Linked DNA regions of Oreochromis niloticus. Each later gene encodes a partner of the first gene's protein in a complex. Links are inferred from orthologs where the notes say so. Each region holds a gene or a part of one and is shown on either strand. Other genes may lie near its edges.

Region 1 (12,619 bases):
TCGTCAGTTATATTGTTATCGCAAATTTTCAAATATATATCGTGATAAATATTTTTGGCCATATCGCCCTGCTCTATTTATGAACACTTTCTATTAGTCACCTGTGTACCCAAATACTTCCCAACACAATGGAAAATGCATTGGTAGATCAATTCTTACTCATATCTAACCTATCTTTGCACTCCATTTTTATGAATCCTGTACAGAAGTGGACAACATTACAAAAGGATGACCTCTGTGTTTTCACTGTTTGTTTAACAACTATGCAAGTAATCCAAATGTAACCCCATGCAACCACTAAACATACAATGTAGCCATTCAGAGCAACAACAACAACAACAAAAAAAAAACTAAGAACTTTGTTGCACCACTGACCTTTCTGAGACCATTATTCAGTCAGGTTTTACACCGTCTAGCCAGCATGATCACAATATTCTTCCTGACCCTCATATGAAATACTTATACTTTCAGTTTCAGCTTTGTGCCTTGCGATTTGAGACGTTAATTGATGGAGTCCCCAGACAGGAGACAGCACTTGGAGCCCAACTGAACAATTAGGATGTCTAGATTTGAATGTGAGCTTCCAGTAATTTCAATCTAGAACTTGATTTCAAAGGAAACTAAGATTGATTTAATTTGGATGGCTACAAAATTACAATCACTATATAAAGTAACTTGGAGGAGCATACCACAAGGCTGTAAAAAGCAGACAGCCTTAGTTGTCAAGGCTAATGATCTAAGGCAAGAAATGGCAGCTGCTGCTATTATTACCATCTGAATCCAGATACTCCCCTGGTCAGCTGTGAGGCTCCTCCTGTGGCATTACATTACATCCTTCAAAGCTGCAGAACCTTTTCAGCAAGACTGAGCTGCTAAGTAATTGCTCACAGTTAAACTTTTGACCCTGAGCTACTCAAAATTAAATGCAAAAGAAAATAAACACTAGACAGCTGGCCAAAAGGAACAAATGGTACTGACTGAAGTCATAATAGGTGAGATGACAGATTAAGACACTCAGTGTTTTGCAGAAGATAACAACATGACAATTTGTCAATTTCAGATTTTGTATATGAAGGCTATATACAAGCACTAATCTTCTTTCAAAAACCCTGTGTTCACCTAAACGTACATTTAAACATTTGTTTTAATATGAATACCATCCAACATGATGTTCATCAATATTTTTTTTTTTCCACAGCTATCATTTCCTCTCCTGAGTATTATTTTTATTCTTTATCATCAGATAAGAACAGAAATGGTGCAGCTTAACATCGAGTGGCACTAATGATTTTATTTTTAATAACGATGCAGCTTAGCACACCTCAACAATCATGTAAACATAAAGTGCTGCAGGAAGAGAATTAGGAACTATACACACTATTTGTGGCTGTGCGTTGCTCGGGCCTATGCCAGATCACACCATTAGCAACAGTAGCAGCATAAATTCTTCTGTGCTTTAAAAATGTTGTATTGCGATATCGTTGCTATACCAATGCCATGGATTTGCATTCCCTAGGGCACACAACAATGAGAAAAGTTTGGATAAGACACGATGAACGCATTTCACCACTTTAGACAAAAACACACCAACAAGTACAGCCAGGCTATGACAGAGGAGATGCTAGCAGTTGATGATGTGCAACCCAAATATAAACAAATATAACGGCACTCAATACAACAGAGAGACCAAGCAGTGGCTGGTAATTACTGATGCAAGTACACAGTGGGAAAAAAAGGGCTTTAAGCAGCTTTAAGCTTGACCCACAATCTAAAATACCAGGGAGCAAATATTTTTCAGTTTTATTAAGTACAGGCTCCTGGCAAGTTAAAAGGCTAAATTATTTTAATTATTTTATATTGTTATATAATTATTATAAGTGTTAAGCAGTCTTTTTATGCACTTACTTAAAATTTCCAATTGGAAAAAAAAAAAAAAGTTCAATAACTTTGTTCCCTATATTGTCACAAATTTTCTTAAAAATTGCAATAGAATTTTAGGACTATATCACCGACCTCTAGTGTGGCTGTTTGTCATATAGCATATCAAAACATCATTCACACATTCTGTTAGGAAGCTCTGCTTACTGTACCAAACTCAAAACAAAAAAAAGAAGAAAAAAATCATTTTATATATAAATATTTCACTAAATCAGCTACAGTTTTTAAACAAAAGTGAACCATATCATCTTTTTATTCCAGTGGGGAACAGTGTAACACCAAGCATAAACACCAGTCCTCTTCAAAACACACGATTCAACTCTGATGACTAATGATAAACAATAATCATATTTATTATTAATTGGCAGAAAATGGCAACGTTTAATCCCTAGTGTCTTTTTCCTCCATCTTGACATACTGATGTTAAACAACAGTCTTTTTTAAAAACACTTTTTCAAGCAGTTGCATTTCTTGCCAGATGTGCTACCGGCTGTTGTAACAAAAGAATTTCCCAAATATTAGATAAAGTATTTCTTATTCTTAAGACCAACTTTAAAGAACAAACTCACTTTGGCTACTTTTTACCAAACAGGACCCAGAATATGAATGTTTATGCATGAAACAAAAACAGACATGTTCTCATCAGATGATGAAGGTAAATACAGACTGTCATTGTGGAAATAAAAACACCTATTTTCAACCCACCCAACTTTCTGCTTTTGCCATGTAGCCTTGAGAATTAAACAGTCATTGCTGTTTTAAATTGCAGGCCTACAACCTCACGGCACAGTGTGGTGCTGTGTCTCGTGAACTTGATCTTGTATGCTCATTAGATAAAAAGCCTCTATTTCCTAAAGCATGTGACCTCATGATTTTTCAACTGTGAACTTATGACTATCATTTAGCAGTCTTCTTGTTGAAATAGCTCCAGTTTGTAGGCAATGTGCAGTATAGTTAGCTATTACGCTGAAGAGATTAATTATGGTGACAATTACAGAGAAATCCCCCTTCAAGAAAAAAATAAAAAAAATAAACAAAAAGATTCAAGAGCATGTAAAAAGCTCAAAGTTAAAACGGGCCGCATACAACTACAAGAGCTAATCAGGTTTACTCAAGACAATGCTTAGAAGTCTGTCAAACGCACTGCAGCATTTTCAAAAGTTCAAAACAGCACCGGGTGTATTTTAAATGGGAACTATGTAAATCTGCAAATAAGGAGCGCACAAAATCAGACACACAAGCGTCACAGAAAATCCAGGTGATTTTCCGAAATGAAAGATCCTGTGCAGACTAAACATTTCACTTCTGACATGATTCTGGTGAAATATGATTCTGCAAAGTACAGAATAAAACAATGTACATGACTTACATCATAGAAAAACACCAGTGTATTCCTGAAGTAGTGCTGGGTTTAAAAAATAAATAAAAAGCTCAATACAAACATCTGTCTTGAGTCATTGAGTCTGTCTTGTATTCTATACTGCAAATGTAATGGAGTTTGTCTTGTTTTTCCATAATGGAGTTATAATGAGATTTTCCCCATTTTTTCCATTCACTTCATTCATTCTCTTAAAAATTAACCACTGCCTTATTGCATCTTGTGAACTAAGTTACACAACAAAATACTACCGACAAAAATAAGAATTTACTTCAATCAGGTAATGATTTATCATAGCCACCCACAAGGTCTTACACTCATTAAGCCATTAGAGACTAGCAGAGTGAGTTATTTTACCTCTCCACTTTCTGAACAAAAGCAACTGAAATGTAAATAAAATCCAGGTTTTGACCAGATCACTGGTAATTACCCCCTGTGAGCTGTAATAGATGTTTACTTTTTGAGATAGCACACAGTTACCACCCAACACTTCTGCAATTCAGTCTAAATCACAGCTTCTTCTTGTCACGGTGGTCTCTTACGTACACTCTCAATCACTCCGTTTTGTTTACTACCTCATGTCTGTACCCACACCTCAAGATAAAATCACCCACAAACCGGTCTTTAAGCTGGCCACAATGCAAAACAGATAACCAGTTGCCCCAAGTTTAGTAGATATGTGCAGTCATTATTATTACTCACCAACCAAAATTGCTCACTAATACCAATTACTTTAAGGTAAACCACTAGTTACGTTATTTACTGGCCTGACTTTCGTCTGTCATTACTGCCATCATTGCCACCCACAGCCATGCATTAGTGGTCTTTCTATGCTACTGATAACGTGAAGAACACAGACATAATCAGCAGAAAAGAGTATCTAGGGGAGAAAAAAAATTCACAAAATAATAGCAGTGCAGTGCTGAACTTTACTCTGAGTGTCACAAGCGCTCACTGGTAGTAACGTCAACAAGGTATTATAATAGGCTGTGAAACCTGAATACTAGTTTATCTAAGCTACTCATAACCAAATGAGCAACACATTACTGGACAGTCTCTTGATGCTATTTACATCAGACAAGGGTTACTGGTAATGTAAAAAGAAAAAGAAAAAAACTGTAAGGCAGGGAAAGTACATTAGCTTTACAAGCCACAGTCTGGGTATTGAATTTCTCTGAGTTTTAAAAGGAGAAGGAACCTCACTATGGCTGCCGCCACATAAATAGCTGGCTGTTCAAATAATCTTGCCTACAATTACACAGCACGCTTTAATTTTGCTGGATCACACAAAGGAACTCACTTATACGTCCTAATCTTTATATTTAACACAAAACCACCACAGTCAATGCGGCAAAACACCAAGCAGATCATTACAGATATACTGTATGATTAACTTGATACTTTGGGTTCTTAAACCTTTTTTCTTCCAACGTGTTTATGCCTGCTGACAAAAACAGCTTCATATTTTTGGTCCAGGAAAACTCAAGTCTGGGTGCACTTCAATGAGCTGTTGTTAGTATTCTAACCTGAAAGAGGGTTTCTAGATCATCATTACCGAAAAACATAAACGTCTGAAAATGACAGAGACACTTCAAATGCTTCATCACAATTAGACTTCCAGTTAACTACAATTTAACAACACGTGGCACTGCCATACATCTGGCACAAATTTAAACCAAAAAGTATGACTGAGTTGTACATAAGGTCTGCTTATTTTTGTCATGCCTGATTATGATAAAGTATTAACATTATGCGACAATCTTTGACTAGCATATGTTAACTGACTCACAGGCGAAACCCAATGTAACCTTAACTAACACAGCACTCACTATTTAAGTCACACGATCCTTATCGTCCATTTAGAGTTAGTTAACATTAGAACAAGCGATTGTAGTTTCCAAAGCTAAACGAGCCGACCTTGTTAAAATAAATCAACTGGTCGCCGTGACAACACTGAAAAGAGCAAACGCGTCAGTGTTGGCACTCACGCTAATAATTTGCACATAGTAACACCGCAGTTTGACTAAAAGAGAAAATTAATTCAGGTTTAATCAATCAAATATCCAAAGTGCTGGGGGAAGTACCTGCGCACGAACCGAATGCTTACATATTGGGTTATAAAGGCAAAAGCTCGCTAGCTAAGTTTGTAGCTAAGTTGTCACTTAGTATTGCGTCACATTTAGACTACCATTTCAAAGGTAAGGCTAAATAAACACCACAGAAAAATAGCCTTCCCACCACCCCGCTGCTTACCTTCACATAGAGTCACTATAAGTATAATCCAGGGCTTCTCTGAACATGTTATGGACTTATAAATCCATACCATGTACAGTTCGCCTGCATTGCTGCCATCTTGTCCTAGACGACAGGAAGGGAGAGCTCGCTCTCGGTAACGCCACCATCTCCCACATTTTAAACACTAAATAACTCTTGCATATGAGCTTCCAGAAACACCACACCGAACCCACGTCGTAGCTACACAATTCAAACGCGTCTCCGTCTTCTTTGGGCAGCGTTGCCCATCTCTGTAAAGGGTGTCCGTTACCCTGTCTAGACGCACCGTTCCGCGGGCCTGCCAGCCTCTAACATGTCTCTTTTCTCTAGGAACTGGAAGCGAATGTTTGCGAACTGACGGCATTGGCCAGTCCAGATTAAATGATTACAGAGCAGGTGCAAAGATGGGGGATTCACTGGTTCGTTTCTGGGAAGTCGGTTAGACAGAAAACAGTACACTACAATGGGGAGCTTTTTTTCATAAAAAGAAATAAGGTTTACTGAAAATTACTGACAACATACACGATAAAGACAAAGGTGTTGCGAAGGATGAGAGGAACAAAAGAATGAACACAGAGATGTAGCTTACATTTGAAGTATAATAAAACACAGGTAAAGTGTTAATGCAATACTACAGTCCCTTTCAGGTTCTGCCAGGATGAGATGGATTTATAGCTAACATCAATGAATGTGAAATACAATTTGCAACTTTTGTTTTACATATATTCAGAATAATAACAATAAAGTTTGAATTGTTAATGTGATTGCTTCATGATTTATTCCTCTAGTAAAGTGTTAGCTGCATACTTTCTATAGCCTAGTAAAGTTAGAAGAAAATAATAAAAATAAAATATGAAAATGTACAATCCAAAAGCAGCAGCTTCCTCTTTTTAGCCACCCTTCTATCATGTGTTCTAAAAATAAGCTAGCTAGCACTTACTCTAGGCTTCACATTGACACAACCCTCAATGCCCCAGATAGAAGGTATTTGCTTAACCGATTGTCCTAGCACATCTTTATTCCACTCCTGACTCTCTCTCCCCCCCCCTTTCTTTTAGTTCTTTATTTATACTGCTCACCTGATCTGCTGTGAAAAGGCCACCAATAACAGTTTTTATTTTCTAATTCTGATCCTGGAAGAGATATGAAATCTAGATCAATATGATGAAAGGTAGGACTAGTGATTCCAAAAACATGCTGACCAGCCTTCTAAGGAAATCCAAGCTGAAATCTACTGCTCAGACAGTCAGGAGGCACCCAGCTGGCAAAAAAGCTGCCCATAAGCCCCTGGTGTCTGAGTCGACCAGCTATAATGTAATCCACCAAAAGGCATTTGTCTTTGTCAGTCCTCATCTGTCCTCACCCGAGTTACACACAACAAATCACAGAGCCTGCCCGGTCAGCTGGAAAACAGGTGTGAACACCTCTTGTCTAACTTGGTTTATCTTGGGTAAACACAGCTGGAATGATAATGGGGGTAATCAGAAGAACCCACATGTGCAGAAGGCCCCGTATAAATTCCTTTAGCACTGAAGACCGAACACGGCGTTGCTGTTGCTGAAATAGTTTGTATGGACGAAAAAAGAAGAAGAAAAAAGACAGCTGTCTACTCGTGAACTGGCTCCGTGGTCTTTTGCTTTGGTCTGCTTGGATTTTGCCAGACGGTTATATGAAAGTGCGCGCTCTCGATGGTTATCGTTTGTCTCCACCTATTGGCCAGTGAGGTGGCCAGCAGTCTGCAGCACAAAACAAGCTTTGTTTTACTGATTGACATATTTTCTGCAATTTCAGTAAACAACGAATTTTTTTAAAAAAAAAAAATTATTTATCTATTTTTATCTACACAAAAAGGATTAATAAGCCTAGGGTTTAAGGTACAAGTCAGTATTTGTACAGTGACTGACTACTAGAGGCCGCCTGTAGGTCAAAATTGCAACACGGGTTTGCAGTCGCATAGGAATCACCTGAGTGTACGTGCTTGGCATACATTAGCAGATGCACATCACAGTAAAACATAATTTACCAGGCACATTTAGAATTTCATGGTATTTTATTTTAAAAAAAGAATAAACTTGAAAAAATGCAAATAGACTGTAGTTTTAATCGTGTAAACCATCTTTCTTACAGAATATAGTGTACAGAACATACAATGTAACTTTAGATGAACTGCACTCAGAGGATGCAGGGCAAAGGGCACACTGTCAAACTCGCTTTCGTAGAGATCGGCGCTTTATTTTGAAGGTCTCGCGCCGGAACTGTTATTGTTGTTGCCACTGGCGGAGCGGAAAACGAGTTTCACGCCATTTTAAGACATCGGCGAGCCGTTGAGCGGCTAGTCGCTTGATGGCAATGTGATCGTCTTCTTTGAAGCTATGCCGATTACGAACTGTTTTTAAAAACGTGTCATCGCGTTATTCTTTGAGTGTTCACACAATTGATAAAGACATTTCTAACCTAGGTTACTCTTCCAGCCATGTCGACGGAGGCAACGGCCGAACAGGTAGCTACACGCAGCGGGTCAAGCTAACCCGTGCTACAAAGAATGCATGATTTACACCGTGTTATTTTGGATAATGTTAGAAAGTTGACAAAGCGGTAGCATTTGCTTATGTTTCGACTTATTCTACGTCGATTTTAGCTAGTACTAGTAGCAGATATGTATTTTGTTTGGGTTACGACTGAAAGCTGCAAGTTTAGCCCGCCGTTCGCCATATTGGATATAAGCGTTTGTAGTAAAGTCGCTACTTTACGCTTGTTGTTAAACCAGTTGAGTTTATTTAAACACTTTATAATCTACTAATACACATTAACCGAATGTGGTCTTAGTCGCGCCATGTAAAAGGAGTTAACTTGCCAGCTAATTGGACACCGTTCTGTATTTGTAATGTGAATTACCACCCAAATACTCGTAAATTTCTCTACCTTTCACTGCAGTGTGGTTGCCAGTTATTCTATTATTGACTACAATTGAGTACTAAACCTACTTATGTATGGTCTAAGCCTCAGGATGGGCCTGCCTTAGCACTTGGCCCTTAGATTAGTTGTTTCCCAGCACTATTCAGAGGCATAACTATGTTGTCCCTGTGCCTTTGTGCTGTCTTGCAGGCAGCAGCAGAATATATCCCTGAGAAGGTGAAGAAGGCAGAGAAGAAGTTGGAAGAAAATCCATATGACCTTGACGCATGGAGCATTCTGATTCGAGAAGCACAGGTTTAGTGACACAGAGTTGTATTCCTGGGGTTAAGGAAACTGGGGGATAAGGGTGGGTGGGCTCGGGTTACAAAATGTTAGAATACAAAGCAGCCATAAAATCTTTTCCTCCCATGACTGGTTTTTGATATGTTAAATAGTATGAGGTGTCAATGCATTTTCCTTCTTTAGAACCAACCCATAGACAAAGCAAGGAAGACATATGAGCGACTTGTCTCACAGTTCCCAAGTTCTGGCAGATTCTGGAAGCTATACATTGAAGCTGAGGTTAAGACTTTTCTTTTGTTTTTAATTTTATTTAGTGTGCATGGCTGGGATTTTTGTTTTTTCCTCACATGATCAACAATGTGATTTTCACACGACCAAAATGTCTTACTTTAATGACCAATAAAGTCGCAACTCTTATTTTGGATCGCTGAGCCTGCCTACTTCAGCTGGAACTATTGGTCCTAAATTTAGTAGTTTTCATTACAAGATTGCCATCAACAGTCACGATTAATGAGTGATTGAAAACTGAAGGACATGGATTGAACATGCGTGAAGAATGATGTGAAACACTTTATTTCCCAGGCTCTTGCTTGACTTCTTAAGAGTTGTGCCTTTTTAAAAATTCAAACAAAGGGGGAATTAGTTCTAACAGTATCTTTTCCACAAAATTCTTCTTATGTTCCCAGGATTTTAAAGTACACATTTTCTGCGCCATATTTTTAATGGGGTAAAGTGCATTTGTTGCATGTTTGGTCTGCAACAGTATTAAAACTATTTTAATAGTATTGGAGTGCATTAGCCTTTTATTCACTTGTTGTGTCAATTTATTGCCTCCTGTGTCATTTCTTTTGGGTAACTGTATAAAAACATTTTAACTGTGTGGCCCTTTCTTTCTCCCCACTCCTCCTGAAGACAAGTGACCCTATTGCCTCAATGCCATCAACAGGCTTCGCTGCTACTGATAGAATGACTTTTTATTCCCCCCTCCCCAAACAAATAATTTTTGCTAACCCAATAAAATAACCTTGATACCCTTCACCTTTGCAGAAGATGACTGCAACTGATTTTAAACCAATACTTTCCAAACGTTACACAGGAAGTTGCACCAAACCATCAGACTTTAGTTTCCAGTTAAAAGGCCACTCCTGCCTTCTGGAGACTTGCTACTTTTGTGCAGTGCACCGAATGTGGGTTTATTTGAGGTTATAGTGGCTGTAGTTGGCTGGTTGAGGGGGTTTCTTCCCTGTGTGAGGTTACATCACCCCCATGTGTCCACCCCTGGTCTTCACACACTGAAATACAGGGAGAGATGTGCAGCTACCTTTTCCAAACAGACTAGTCTTTTCAAAAACGACCAGTAGCAATTTCCTTTATTTGCATCAGTAATGCATAACTGTTAAAGTCCACACTTTTTAGTCCCTCTAAAAGTATCAACAGCAAGCTATTAGAGTTGTCTACTGTTACTGTTATTATTGGGTTATTGCTTGGTAATCTGCAGCAGACAAGCCAGAGGGTTAAAATAAAACAGTTGCATCTACACATCACTGGTGCCCTTTTGTTTTTTTGTTGTTTGTCTGGAAGCTTGACTCGTAAACAAAATATTTTAATTTAAAGTCACTTTGTTTAAAAAAAAAAAACCAAAAAAAAAAACCTTGAACATATGTGGTTTTTAACTTTAGATGTTTGCTTAGGATCCATTTTTTTTAAAGCAGGAAAGTAATTATAAATCTTAAACGAATAGGAGATACACCATCTACTGTCAGCTTTAAACAAAGCTGTGGACCTACAGAAGACATGGCTGTAGACTGAATTTTTTTTTTTCCCTATACATAATATTAGCATTTACAATAAAATGCAAAGCAAATAAAATGTAAAGAGTACTGACATTACAAAATTTTGCGTTTCAAGTAAAGTAAGCTTTTACTGTGTGTAGTTTAGAGGTCAGCTGGTAGCAACAGAAGAAGGCAGGGAAGCACTGTAAGCAAGTGTCAGATTTGTTATATGGATAAGCATACTTGACTAATAAAGCTGATTTTTGAATCTGATCTTATACAATACTTTTAAAGGTGTTTTTTTTTTTTTTGTAAAGGGCAAATAGATTTTTTATTTTTTTTTAACCCCCACATTGTTTAGTCCTCTTTCCCCACCACACAGTTAATTCCAAAATCCCAAACCCAGTTTTTATTCTGGCACATTTGCATTGAGCTTTCTGTTAGCTGAAATAGCAGTCAAATAACTAAAACAGACAAAGGTTTTTTCCCCCAGCAACACAAGGCCTTTGTATACTATCGTAGTTTGATGTATGTGTTAGTAATATATGTATTTTTTTTTTATTTTTTTTTATGTTAGTGTAGAAAGAAAGTCTGTCTGGTAAGTATGTGGGGGATGATCTCAACTTTAAAAAAAATTAAAGAGTTAAGTAGTCGGAAATCCTCATAGTGTTCTTCACTTAAAGTTGATGCAAAATTCTTTCCACTGTTCTGTGTGTTAGGCACATTTTCTAAAGGCCTCGTTTGCTCTGTGCAGATCATAGCATGTCTTCTTCATAACTCACCACTTTTGAAGACCTAGTTTTAGAGACCACAGCTCAGTTGGGTTGAGGCAGCACACTGATCAAAATACAAAGTTGTGTCCGATTAATATAGGCACTGTATAGTGAGACTAACCAGCTGTTTTTAACTGTTAGACTGAGGTTTATCTATATTTTGTACCCTTACTAAAATATTTTACATGCAGTTTGTAAGAAGAGCTTAATGGGGCTAACTTACTTTGGGCTTCCTTCAGGGTGCATTAACTTTACTTGATTGTTTGAGTTAAACAGTATGAGCAGCCTGTGCTTTGATGGATAAAGATGTTTTGAGAGGGAACAACAGGGAAAAGTGTGCCTACGTTTGTTAAGTTCGTGTCTTGTTTTCTCTCAGAGTGGATCCTCCTGTATAACCTTTATGACAATGGGAACTAAATGCAGTTGAGCTACTGTGTATTCACATATGAATTGCAGATTTGCGCTACCTTAACAGCTGTGTTGAAAGATGGCAGCCAGTACTGTATTCATTTGTTGGATGGTGGACCTCAAAAATTGGAAACTTAGAAAATCCGCACTCATAAATTAGGACCGTTTTGATTGCATTTCTCAGAAACTAGGTCACCCCAAGGAAAGTTCAGTGTAGTTATCTTCAACAAATAGTGAAGAAGTTGCATTTTATTTTTTTAAATAGAAATTATGGGGCTTTACTAATCTTCTGCCTTGAAGGGCTTTCTCTACTTTAAGCTGTTTGTATAATTATATTCATGTTTTTCTTGTGAGCTTTCCATTTTTTTCAGTTAAAGTAAGCTGATAGTAAGCTTTAAAGCATTAACAAAAAGGTGTGCTGCAGCACGTCATCTCAAGTAGAATTTTGTGCTTGAAGTGATTATGCAACCTAGTGCGAAAAGGGATGTGGCATGTTAGATATCAGGAGCTTTTCTGCAACCACCTAGGCAGATACATCCAAACAAAACATCACTGCAGTGTAATTTGTGCACATTATGTAACTTCTCTGTTCCAGTATTACACACAAACAGGATTTGCATCAGCTCTAGTAAAAGCTTTTGTGACAAGGCTACCTGTGATTCTCTCACACTTAACCCTTTCAGCAAGTAACCCACCCAAATACACTACATTTTAGAAAGCTTAGACATTCTAGTATTAAATCTTATGCCATTTCTATTCCTATGTCAAAACTTGCTTAAATAACTCAAGTTTTACTTTAATGGCCAGCTTAATAATTTTGTAAAGAGTTTATGATCTTAGGTTCCACTGCCTTGGTACATCATTTTTTTTAATCAACA
Region 2 (11,768 bases), on another chromosome or scaffold:
GAGGCGGGGTACACCCTGGACAGGTCGCCAGTCTGTCGCAGGGCCAACACACAGGGACAGACAACCATTCACGCTCACATTCACTCGCACATTCACACCTAGTGACAATTTCGATTATCCAATTAACCTATCCCCACAAGCTGCATGTCTTTGGACGGTGGGAGGAAGCCGGAGTACCCGGAGGGAACCCACGCAAACACGGGGAGAACATGCAAACTCCACACAGAAAGACCTGATGGTGGAATTGAACTCAGGCAACAGTGCTAACCACCGTGCCACCGTGCTGCCCTGCCCTTAACACATGCATCCTTAATTTCTATTAATTTTCATTTGGGATGCATCACTTTTATACATTTATTTATTTATATTTATTTCTGCATTTCGAATAATTAATTTCAGGGTTGGTGACAAAATGCATCGCAGGTGGCTTCACACTACCGTACCTATGCTAACAGCAAGAAAATGTCGTTACCATAGCTACGGCACCAGATGATGGAGATGATTGGATGCTTACTACATTTTAAAGGAGCAGTCCAACATGATGTTAACACAACCTTCAGTATTCCCACACTCCCTAACAAAGCTGATATGACAGTGGTAGACTACGGACCAGTCATCATTTGGACCAAATCAAACATTTGACCTAACAATAAATAATTTATACTTTTTAACATTAGTATTTATTTAGACATATATATATATTGCCTTAAAAATGTTTATGGCCAGCTTATGTGTTCACACTGTACATGCAAGTATTTACTAGTTCTGCCAGTGCTCTGCAACTGGGCTAACCACAAAAAACATGGGTAAAAAAATAGATGCAAGGAATTTTGCAATTGTGGGTAAAAACAAACTAAATGTGGACAGGTGAGAACAAAATCAGAGTAACGTGTAGTATTTTTTAACATCCAGATATCAGATATCAGATATCAACAACCTTTTTTGTATTGTGAATGCTGACAGCACAAACATCTGAATTCACTTCCCACTAAATAACAGGGTGCAACTGACCAGACTGATACATGTGATTTGAATTCATGGTTTTATATTGTTTAAACAGTATCGGATGCTGTGATCGGATAAGTCCTTAAATCCTTAAATACTGTCCTTTATTAAAGATTGTTCACTTGTCCTCTTTTGTTTTATTCTGTCTTCACTTTACAGTTCTGTATCTTTGGTTAGGTTTAGTTAAACCAGTTCAGTATAAAAATACAAACTAATGTTGTTTTGTATTTTTAAGTTGTTCTCAGGCATTAGATTTTTATGAGTCTACTGGCCAGTTTTACAAAAAGTACTTTAAAGTGACTATGCAGTCCATGTATTTAATTACAGGCCGTGTTGGGCCTTTTATGAATTTGTTACTATGACGATGAATACACACAAGCAAATCAATCCACTGTTAACACAAAACTATTGACTACACATATATATTCAGTTTCTCTATGTGTATCTTAATATATATTTAAGCAACCAAAAACATCTCTAATGTTGCCAGTTCGGGCCCCGCCCACCAGCTACTCAAACATTCTGTTTGCAAGAAGCAGCCAACCAGAACAAAGTTGGCTTAAACAAAGTGGGAAGGGAAACTAAAATGGCGTGTTTCATAATATATAACATAATATAAACTACATTAAGGCCTGCTATAAGACACATGCGACACATGCAGGTCGCCCCCTGAGCCACAGTCGCCCCGTGGCTCAAGGGGGTTGGGATGCGTATCTGCAACCGGAAGGTCGCCGGTTCGATCCCTGGGCTGTCTGTCCTGGTCGTTGTGTCCTTGGGCAAGACACTTTACCCTACCGCCTACTGGTGTTGGCCAGAGGGGCCGATGGCGCGATATGGCAGCCTCGCCTCTGTCAGTCTGCCCCAGGGCAGCTGTGGCTACAACTGTAGCTGCCTCCACCAGTGTGTGAATGAATAGTGGCATTGTAAAGCGCTATATGAAATCCAATCCATTATTATTATTATTTTAAATGGGAGTCTTATACAGTCCAAGAACAGAAAGATGGAGTTGGAAATTAGCAGAACAGGTCCCCTTTAATGAAAATCTTTCTTTAAATGCATTAATATTGCTGTCAAATCCTTGCTGCTGATATTCTGAACATGATGTCATCACGTGGGATCAGCCGTGTAATTATCAGATGACATCTGCTGTTAAAAAACAAAGTGTTTTTCTATCATTCCACCGCCACAGACTCTAGCCAGTCTCCAAGGCAACTGGAGGCTGGTCTGCTAAGAGCATGGTTTGTGTCGACATGGCAACAAGACACCTCCTACCACGCATGTTTTCTACAGTCTGCACACTGCCCTGTAGGGCGGAAGCACAGTTTTAGTGCATGGTTTTAAAGCCCCAGTCAGATGAAACAAAATCACAGTGTGTGGATGTGTGCAGGAGTCTGCTGAAAAAAAGTCAGCAGAGGTCTGATGATGTTGATAAATTGTTATTTGGCTGTGTTGTTCAGGTTACTAGGATACAAGGTTGAGTCGAGTTTTACAGCTGATGGTCAGCAGTGACAAGAGACAAACAACGTGTTCCTTCTGCTCCTGCTGGCCTCTCAGCTGCCGACGCACAACATAGTTTAAGAGAGATGGTTGTTTTGTTGCAATGTAGACTTTTATCCATGTGCGTACAGCTGCTCTTGGGAGTGTCTGACACATGCTGAGTCACACCGTGGATGTTGGCATAACCACAGTAGTACCAAATACTTCTAGAAACAACAGCAATAACAAAAAATGTTGTTGTGCAACAAAACGTTAAATAGACATTTTCAGCCCCACTCCCCCTTCAAGCCAGCTTAATTCTAAGTGGTTGTAAACGGAAGATCTGAACAACAGGTAGGTGGGGCTTTTGTGCTCACAGCATGACCTTTGTGCCTAAGTTGACAATATCAGGGATATCTCCTCTCACAGCATACAGAGAGTAAAAAACCGTCAGAAAGTGTTTCGATCAGTGTGAAGCTCAGACTTCACTCTGAGCTTTATTATACATGCACCGATTTCATTATTTCAAGCTCTTACCCTGTTAAATATGAGCATCCACCACTGGAGCAATACAAGAAATGACAGAAAACAATCGGCTTCCTTCAAAATGTACCTACATTGCAAGATATTCAGCCTATTTCATCGGTGTTTGATGGGGGTCATTTGAAAAGGTCTACCTTTTCCATAACAGGTTTCCACCATCATCCGTGTAATCTGTATGTATTACACTGCATTTTTGGCTCTTTGTTTTTGGCCAGCACTAGCGGTGATGAACCACATTACAGGAAGTGGTAACTGAGCATTAATGTGTGTGCATGTGTACGTGGGTGGGAGTCGCTGCAGGCCTATAACCAATTACATGTTCATCTTCTCAGTAGCTAAAGCACAGCAGCCTCATGTCCCACTCTTGTTCACAACCAGCTGCCAAACACTGACACTCCTGTCAGTGTAAAAACTGCAAACCAGCATTAATCAAAGAATCAGAAAGTGATCCGAAATTTGACTCTTTTCTTTCCCTTTGTGTCTGAGATGGTGCTCTTTTGCACCCTCTGCTGGATCAGGGGTGACAAAAAGTCTTGAATGCATAAATAGAACGTATTTGCATTAAAAGTGTTAGAATTGTGTTAATAATATTGTTGTTGTTGTTGTTGTTTTTATTATAGTGGTGCAGAGGGCGGCCAGAATTAGCCATGATGGATAACCTCTTCTCCACCACGGCCAGCCAATCACAGAGCCAGTTTTTCTAATCAGTTTATCCAGTTTCCTGGTGTCACCAGCTTTGATCTTGCTCTCCAGCACACCAGCACAGCATACCAGCACAAATTAGAGACAGAAAATCTCATCTCACTGCAAATTTGGAAGAATCTCACCTTCCTTAGAAAATACAGCCTGCTCACCCGTTTCTTGTATAAAACATCTGTGTTGATGGTCCAGTTCAGCCTGGTGCCTGAGTGGATCACCAGGTACTTGCATCACATCAACATCCTGTCCCAGAATAGAAACAGACATGTTATAAACGTGCTTCTGAAGCCTATCACCATCTCTCTGGTCTTCACTTGCACATTCAGAAGCAATATAAGTACTATAACTTTTGATTGCCTTTTAAAATTCTGCTTTGTTGTTTTTGCAATATTTCATTTTACTTACCAATTTTGCTATTGGTTGTAATGATATTTTCTCCTCTGGCTGCTCCCTTTCTCACACCAACCCTCTGAATGTCCTCCTTCACTACATCCATTAAACTCCTCTCAGGTCTTCCTCTTTTCATCCGATATCCATTATCCCTCCTCTGCACATGTCCAAACCGTCTGTCTTGCTTCTCTAACTTTGCCCCCAGACTGCTCAACCTGAGCCGTCCCTTTGATATACCCAACTCTGCCACCTCCACCTCCTGTCCTGCTGTTAGTGTAACTGTCTCCAAACCACACATAACAGCAGCTAATCTTGTAAATATTTCCTTTCAGTCTTGCTGCTATTCCTCTGTCACAAATCACCTCTGACACTCGTCTCTACTGACTCCACCCTGCCTACACTCTTTTTTTCTTCACCTCACTTGTGTACTGTCTGTTGCTTTGGATGGTTGAACCCAGGTATTTAAACTCATCAAAATTCACTACCTCTACCCTTTGTATGCTCATCTTTCTATCTGTCTCCCCCTCATTCATACACATGTATTCTGTCTTGTTTCTACTGACTTTCAATCCTCTTCTCTCCAGAAGAGCTCTTCAGGCTCTCTTCCACCTGCTCTCACTATAGATCATGATGTCATCTGCAAACATCATAATCCACTGAGACTCCTGCCTGACCTCATCTGTCAGCCTGTCCATCAGCACTTCAAACAGTTAGGATGTGGATCAATCCCTGATATAATCCCACCCCACCTTGAAACCATCTGTCACTATTACCCCCGTCTTACTGTCTTAAAATATTTGTGTAAACTGGTGGTGGTCAGAGGGCCCGGTGGCGCCAGTGTCCGGCAGCCTCGCCTCTGTCAGTGCGCCCCAGGGTGGCTGTGACTACAATGTAGCTTGCCATCACCAGTGTGTGAATGTGTGCGTGAATGGGTGGATGACTGGATATGTAAAGCGCTTTGGGGTCCTTAGGGACTAGTAAAGCGCTATATAAATACAGGCCATTTACCATTTATAATGTTTAAAATGTATCAGTTCTGCAGATGAATTTGTGAAATTCTGCTGTACAAACTGACTTTAAAATGCAAGATTACTGTCAGACTTAAAATGACCCATTGTTTGGCATAAACTTTTTTTTTCACTGGCTTCTATCCACAAATGTCTTCTTTGAGAATCGTCACACAAGTCCATCTAAAACCTATACCACGACTTTCTGATGCAACCCCAAAAGGATCTTTGTCTATTAAAAACGGGGTTTGGGGTATAAATAACTGTTAATGTATAAGGCATTAGTGAAATGAGAAATATTTTACAATGTGCTGATTTAAATAATTTAGGGCACAATGTCAGATATAGTAAACTGACAAACTTAATTTTCAACATCTTTTCAATACATTACATGTTCTTTTTTATTTAACTTATTCTAATCAGCATTACCTTCATTTGGTTTCAGGGGTCAATAAACCATTAGCTTAAAAGGATTTCTAACTGTGATGTATCAGATTAAACGGCTTTGACTAGCTAAACGTTATTCTATTATTATTTTCATTTGAACAACAAAAAGCGGCATAAAGGGTGGCATTTTGTATCGGAATAGGCCAAAACCTTAGCCAGAGCCCCTGAGCAAGATGGCGGCTCCAGAAACGCATCACGCGGATATTACGTTTTTCTGTATGGTGACGTAGTGCGTAAAATACGCAGTACGTAACGGACGTTCGGATCAAGAAGCGCACTTGGAACTTTTAAGAGGGTTGGATGTTTCATGTGTTTCAGTGTTAAAAACAGAAAATTTTTAAAGTTATGTTGTTAAGTAGCATATACCGCTTCTTTTGGACAATGCACACGCTCATGGTTCCCAATTAACACATTGTTCTTTTTTAGTTCTGTAATTGCTGTAGCAACAAAGCTAACGTTGTTAGCTGCAAGGCTAACACATTCATTCATTCCTTATAACTGCCACACTGTTAGCATACCTACAGCTAACGGTGTTCGCTAGTATTGTGATTTGACATTAACCTAATCCGCTAATATAGACCTGGGGCAGGTTGTTGACATTTTGTTTTCCACTTTAGTTCACACAGTTGTCACTATTTACGACCCGGTTTAGGTGACAGTGACCCAACATGTTTCGTCCCAAACCGACTCTGAAGGACCGACAGCACCTGTACAAGCTTATCATCAGCCAGCTGCTCTACGATGGATACACTAGCATCGCCAACAGTCTCATCAATGAGGTGAAGCCACAGAGCGTTGTGTCTCCCTCTGAGCAGCTCATGCAGCTGGCAAAGATAGGTAAGAGTTGAGACCTTCTTCTGATCTTGAAAAACAGCATCTTGGGGTGGAGGATACCTAAAAGTATTTTGTGCAATTAAAACAAACAGCCGACACCGACTTCATAGCTTTTGCTTCAATTATAAGACGAGCTGTTTTTGAAGTGAAACAAATAATGCTAAATTCTGTCTTGCTTGAAGAATGCACTCTTTCACTTCACCTCAGTAAGACTTTTGGGATCATCTATCAGTCACACTCTTCTCTACTTCTCTGCTATGCATGTGTTGCTTGTTTGCACTGGTCTTATTTGACTGAAAGTGAGAGTCATTAGTGTGCGCCATACTGCAGCATCATTTACAGTTGAAGAATTTTCTTTTGCATCCTCACAAACACTCATGTGGCATAACCACAGTTTCCAGCTAAGTTAAAGCTTTTGCAAACATATGAAAAGAGGCTGACGTAGTAGACGTGGCAGTGTGAAACGCCTCCAAACTGCTGACCTTTTGCTTTTAGCTTCCTCCTATTTTTCCTGCTAGGCTAGGCTAGGTTAGCTCCAGTCTGCCACCTCTGACTGACATATGCACAAAACATGTGCTAAAAAGTCAGCTGTGTCGTAATGGCTGCAGTTCGCCCTGGACACCGTCTTTTCCCCCTCTGCCCTTAGGACAAAAATTCAGGACTATAAAGCTCAGACCGAACACACTAAAACAGCTTTAAAAAGAAAAACATAACTGATTATAGAGTGAATGACTTTCTTTTAGGGCAGATTTTTTAAGTCTTCTACTGGTGCTACTTTTACTGGTTTTATTTATTCTGTCTATCTAGTTATCTAATCTCCTCTATCTGGGGTTAAAATCTCAGATTCTCAGGCCTTTGTCCCAGTTGTTTCATCCACATCTTGGTTTTGGTACTGTATGTCTTCAGATCCTAACTACAACCTACAATCCATTACAGGGATGGAAAATGACGATAGTGCCGTTCAGTATGCGATCGGTCGCTCAGATACTGTAGCCCCGGGTGTTGGCATCGATCTGGAATTTGACGCAGACGTCCAGACCATGTCTCCAGAGGCGTCAGAGTATGAGACCTGCTACGTCACATCTCACAAGGGCCCTTGCCGCGTTGCTACATACAGTCGAGATGGTCAGCTGATCGCTACAGGCTCCGCTGACGCCTCCATCAAGATCCTGGATACTGAGCGCATGCTGGCGAAGAGTGCCATGCCCATTGAGGTGAGGCAGCTCAAACAGCACAGGCATGCTGGATGTTTTTAAGCCAGTGCACTGACATTTTTTTTCATTTCCACATACATCAGGTGATGATGAATGAGACGGCGCAGCAAAACATGGAGAATCACCCTGTGATTCGGACGCTGTACGACCACGTCGATGAAGTCACCTGCCTCGCCTTCCATCCCACCGAACAGATTCTGGCATCTGGCTCCAGAGATTACACCCTCAAACTGTTTGACTACTCCAAGCCCTCTGCAAAAAGAGCCTTTAAATATATACAGGTCAGATGAATTGTTTACAATCCAAAGTGACAAAGCTGATGTATATAAATGCAAATCTTTGTAATCCAGTTGTCGCCTTATCGATTTACCCACAGGAAGCAGAAATGCTGCGTTCAATCTCCTTCCACCCCTCAGGTGACTTCCTGCTAGTGGGGACGCAGCACCCCACCCTGCGCCTCTATGACGTCAACACTTTCCAGTGCTTTGTGTCTTGCAACCCACTGGACCAGCACACAGACACCATCAGCGGGGTCAGCTACAACCCCACAGCTAATAGCTATGTCACCTGCAGCAAGGACGGCAGCATCAAACTGTGGGACGGTGTCTCTAACCGCTGCGTGACGACCTTCGAGAAGGCACACGACGGAGCGGAGGTGTGCTCCGCCATCTTCTCCAAGAACTCCAAGTACATCCTGTCCAGTGGGAAAGACTCGGTGGTCAAACTTTGGGAGATCTCAACAGGCCGGACTCTGGTCAAGTACACAGGTAGGGAGGATTTGCTGTTATTCTAAACTATGACAGTTGAAGCATTCACAGTCACAGGTTTGCTGACGCAGAACTTACCTACAGTGAGCTACTTGCAACATTTAAAATCTATACAAAATAAATGTTATAACAAGTTTATGGCATATTCATATTTAAAATTCCAACACCATAATGATAACATGACTCAAGCATTACATTTATCTAGTGTGCATATTAGCTGTTCATGCTGAGACATATGACCAGAAATGTAGTTTATAGAAATGTATTGTTTCTGTCACGAGTGTAAAGAATATTAAAAGAGAAAAAAAATGCAAGAAATAAAGTAAAACAACACAAACTAACCAACTAAAAAAATCTGCTCTTTGGCTGTTTTAACAAAAGTTTATTTGGCACGAGGAGTCAGACCTCTACAACCTTCAGCATGGACGTCATTTCTTTTTTTAGTCCAGCGCAGAAATAAAACTTAAAAAAAACAAAACTGAAAGCATCCACACAGCACACACAGCTCCTGACTGAAGCCCAGCTGTTAACACATTGCGATGTTACTCAGCATGTATATTTCTATATTTCACACACGATTGTGTATCATATTGGCACTATTGAACAGGATTTCATGTGGATCATGTGTTTGCCGTCCCTGTGTTGTTTTTTTCTAATGATTTTTAATTTTTAGTTTCATAACTGTGCTGTGGATGGAAGCAGTGGCAAAGCTTACTGTTCTCCAGCTACTGAACGGGTGGTTTGATTAAAAATTCTTATTAGGATTTAAATTACAGAGGTTGGATCGCACTTACAGTAAGGAGCTTTAAAATGCGCTTTCTCCCACATTGTGTGTGTGTGCGTGTGCGCGTGTGTGGAGGAGAACATCCAGAGTGTTATGTTTTGCATTTTTCCCTTAAGATACCTAAATGGATATATGCAGTGTTTCATCTTGATAAATCATGTGTTAGTGTGCCATGCTTGAGTAAAAATGTTTTTTACTCCTATTTATCAGCTTTTAGGCACTGTATTGTAACGTCTCCATCAAGCATGATCATAATGCAGTGGTAGTAAGGATCCTATTTGTCAGTCAGCACTAGAGGTCGCCTTAGTTTAAAAAAAATCACTTATGATGCCATTTTGTCCGTCTTTTAATTTTTTTATGATAATGAAACACATTTAATAGTGTTTAATTAAACAAATCAGAAGGAAATAATACACAGAAAAAAAGAGACGTGGTGCTCACTTCTCAGCTCAACACTGTAAAAACCAGAGGAATGAGCTGCAGTTACAGGAGAGCCACTAAAATGACACAAATATGAGCTGAATGGACTTAACCTGGGTGCTCGTTTGTCACTTTGTCACATGGTCCACATCGCTTTGTAAATTTCACGTGTTATTCTACAGTTTTATGACGTGTGTAATGCTCTGAAAGAGACAAACCACTTATGGTAGCAGTATTGTAGCATGGGAACTATATAATGTTACAGTAGAGCCACAGTCAGTGGAAGTGAGCAAGTGTGCATGGACTTTCAAATCAATAAAAATGGCAGATTAGGGAAGAAAAAACTAAATAGTTTTTTAGAAGTGGCGTCTCAAACTCTTAATATGTGTAAAACTCTTCCATATGTGCAACAGTTCATGCTGCAACACTGCTATCTGCACACACGACCCTTTATATTTCTGCATCTCCTCACTGTACTTGTCATTTCTCTCGTCTCAACACACTCTGCAGATACCATCTGCACGATGTTATAAATATCTCATCTATAGAGGTTTTGCAGGCACGTGACCCCTTATCACTTCCCAACCATTTTAGATATGTAACATGTCAAGCGAGTACTAAACGTCATGGAGATGAGATAAACTATGGCAGTTATAAGTAAACAAACAAATGTATATTCTCGTTATGTGGAAAAATCAGGAAAGGGAGGGCTGAAGATGGATGTTAACTTACTCCCTCTGAGTGTGTTTATTGATGCTGTGAAGTGCAACCCTGGCACTCTCTCTGACTTCACGCCACACACTTTATATCGTTATGTTATCAACAGTTATACTGGATGAGATCCAAAGGCCTTGGATGCTCACTGCTATTCACAGCTGTTACTGAAACTATATATTTATTCTCCAAATGGTCATTTTGTAAAAATGTCAATTAAAACTTCAAGTATTTTTTTAAAAAATTTCTAAGAGATTTCAAAAAAACGCGCCTTCTTGTAAGTGTCTCCATTTCAACAGCTTAGTAGGAAGTGTGTCAGCATCCTCGTGGCTTAGTGCTGATCCTGTTGCTGTGACAGTGTAACATCGCCTATGGCAGGCTGTAACATTCTCCCTCTGATAGAGTCACAGGCTGCATGCAGCTTTATTTGGACACTTTAAAATCATGGAATGTTACAAGCATTCTGCTCCTGATGAAAATCATCAGGATTTTCATCAATCAGGAAAGAGAAGTTTATGATAAGTTTGTGTGGTTAAGTGCGTTTAGTTGAAAGTGCTACAAGCACAGTAAAAAGTGCATGAGGTCCTCCTGGATGTGATTTATGTTGGTCATGAAAACCATTTCTGTAGAACAGAAGTGATCAGTGCTGTCATCAAGGAGTTTTTATCACGAGATAAGTTATGCTTTATTTACATTCACCAGTATCTGTTTCAAGTAATATTTGGCCATTTAACATTGAACATTTTGAGAATAAATATATAGTTTCAGTAAAAGCAGTGAAAAGGAGCTAACGGAGGCAAAAACAGCAGTGCTTGCTGATGGAAAATCAAAAAAATCCTCAATAACTCACGAGAGAAATGACAAGTACAGTGAGGAGATAGAAATAAAAGTGTGTGTGCAGATGGTGGTGTAGCAGCATGAACTGTTCAAGATTGTTTATTTGATACGTGCGTAGTTATACAAGTACAACACACAGTGAAGTGTGTGTGTTATTTATTTTTTATTCTTCTAAGCTGCCATTGTTAATGATTTGAAAGTCCATGCCACACGTGCTCCCTCGCAGCCTGTATCGCTTTGATGCTCTTTGGCTTGTGAAGACTACACTGCCCCCTAGCAGAGCAATGCTGAATTAATTTTTCTAACTGCAGCGAAGCAGTGAAGAACTTGTTGTCAGCTGCTCGGATTGCGTTTTACTTTATTGCAATAACCAGGTCATCGTGTCTTCACTGGTTTATTTTCTGTGATGCTACATATTACCTGCTGTTAGGACATCAGTGTGATTGAGGTGTTTTAAATATACAGTAGCTTTCAGCTGCCAGTGCTGGATCTCAGTAAAAATAAAAACATTTCACTCCCTTTCCTTACAAAGTACAAGCTTCATCACACTGAATCAGATTATGAGGAATCGTGACTGTTGCGTCTTCGACTGCTGTTCTGATAAATGTTGCAAAAACTCCTGCCAAATCAA

What was found.
Region 2: the proteins of cstf3 (region 1) and cstf1 are in contact, whole or in part, in a crystal structure (PDB 6B3X), measured with the Homo sapiens proteins. The link is inferred for Oreochromis niloticus from reciprocal best matches to the Homo sapiens genes CSTF3 and CSTF1. Residues at the interface, in NP_001317.1 of Homo sapiens: Tyr581, Pro582, Lys583, Pro584, Asp585, Thr586, Gln588, Met589, Ile590, Pro591, Phe592, Pro594; in NP_001028693.1 of Homo sapiens: Arg118, Glu216, Ala217, His226, Pro227, Ser228, Asp230, Phe231, Thr240, Arg242, Leu243, Tyr244, Cys251, Phe252, Val253, Ser254, Cys255, Tyr270, Ser272, Ser273, Ala274, Asn275, Gly291, Val292, Ser293, Asn294.

Annotation. Positions count from the first base shown.
Region 1 is NC_031965.2:24,187,039-24,199,657, forward strand, and holds the start of cstf3 (cleavage stimulation factor subunit 3), read left to right. Parts: upstream 1-7,847; 5' UTR 7,848-8,063; coding exon 8,064-8,090; intron 8,091-8,695; coding exon 8,696-8,800; intron 8,801-8,971; coding exon 8,972-9,067; intron 9,068-12,619. UniProt on the Homo sapiens protein: One of the multiple factors required for polyadenylation and 3'-end cleavage of mammalian pre-mRNAs.
Region 2 is NC_031970.2:37,107,707-37,119,474, forward strand, and holds the start of cstf1 (cleavage stimulation factor subunit 1), read left to right. Parts: upstream 1-5,711; 5' UTR 5,712-5,862; exon of another isoform or gene 5,863-5,909; intron 5,910-6,219; 5' UTR 6,220-6,235; coding exon 6,236-6,404; intron 6,405-7,337; coding exon 7,338-7,615; intron 7,616-7,698; coding exon 7,699-7,896; intron 7,897-7,991; coding exon 7,992-8,382; intron 8,383-11,768. UniProt on the Homo sapiens protein: One of the multiple factors required for polyadenylation and 3'-end cleavage of mammalian pre-mRNAs. May be responsible for the interaction of CSTF with other factors to form a stable complex on the pre-mRNA.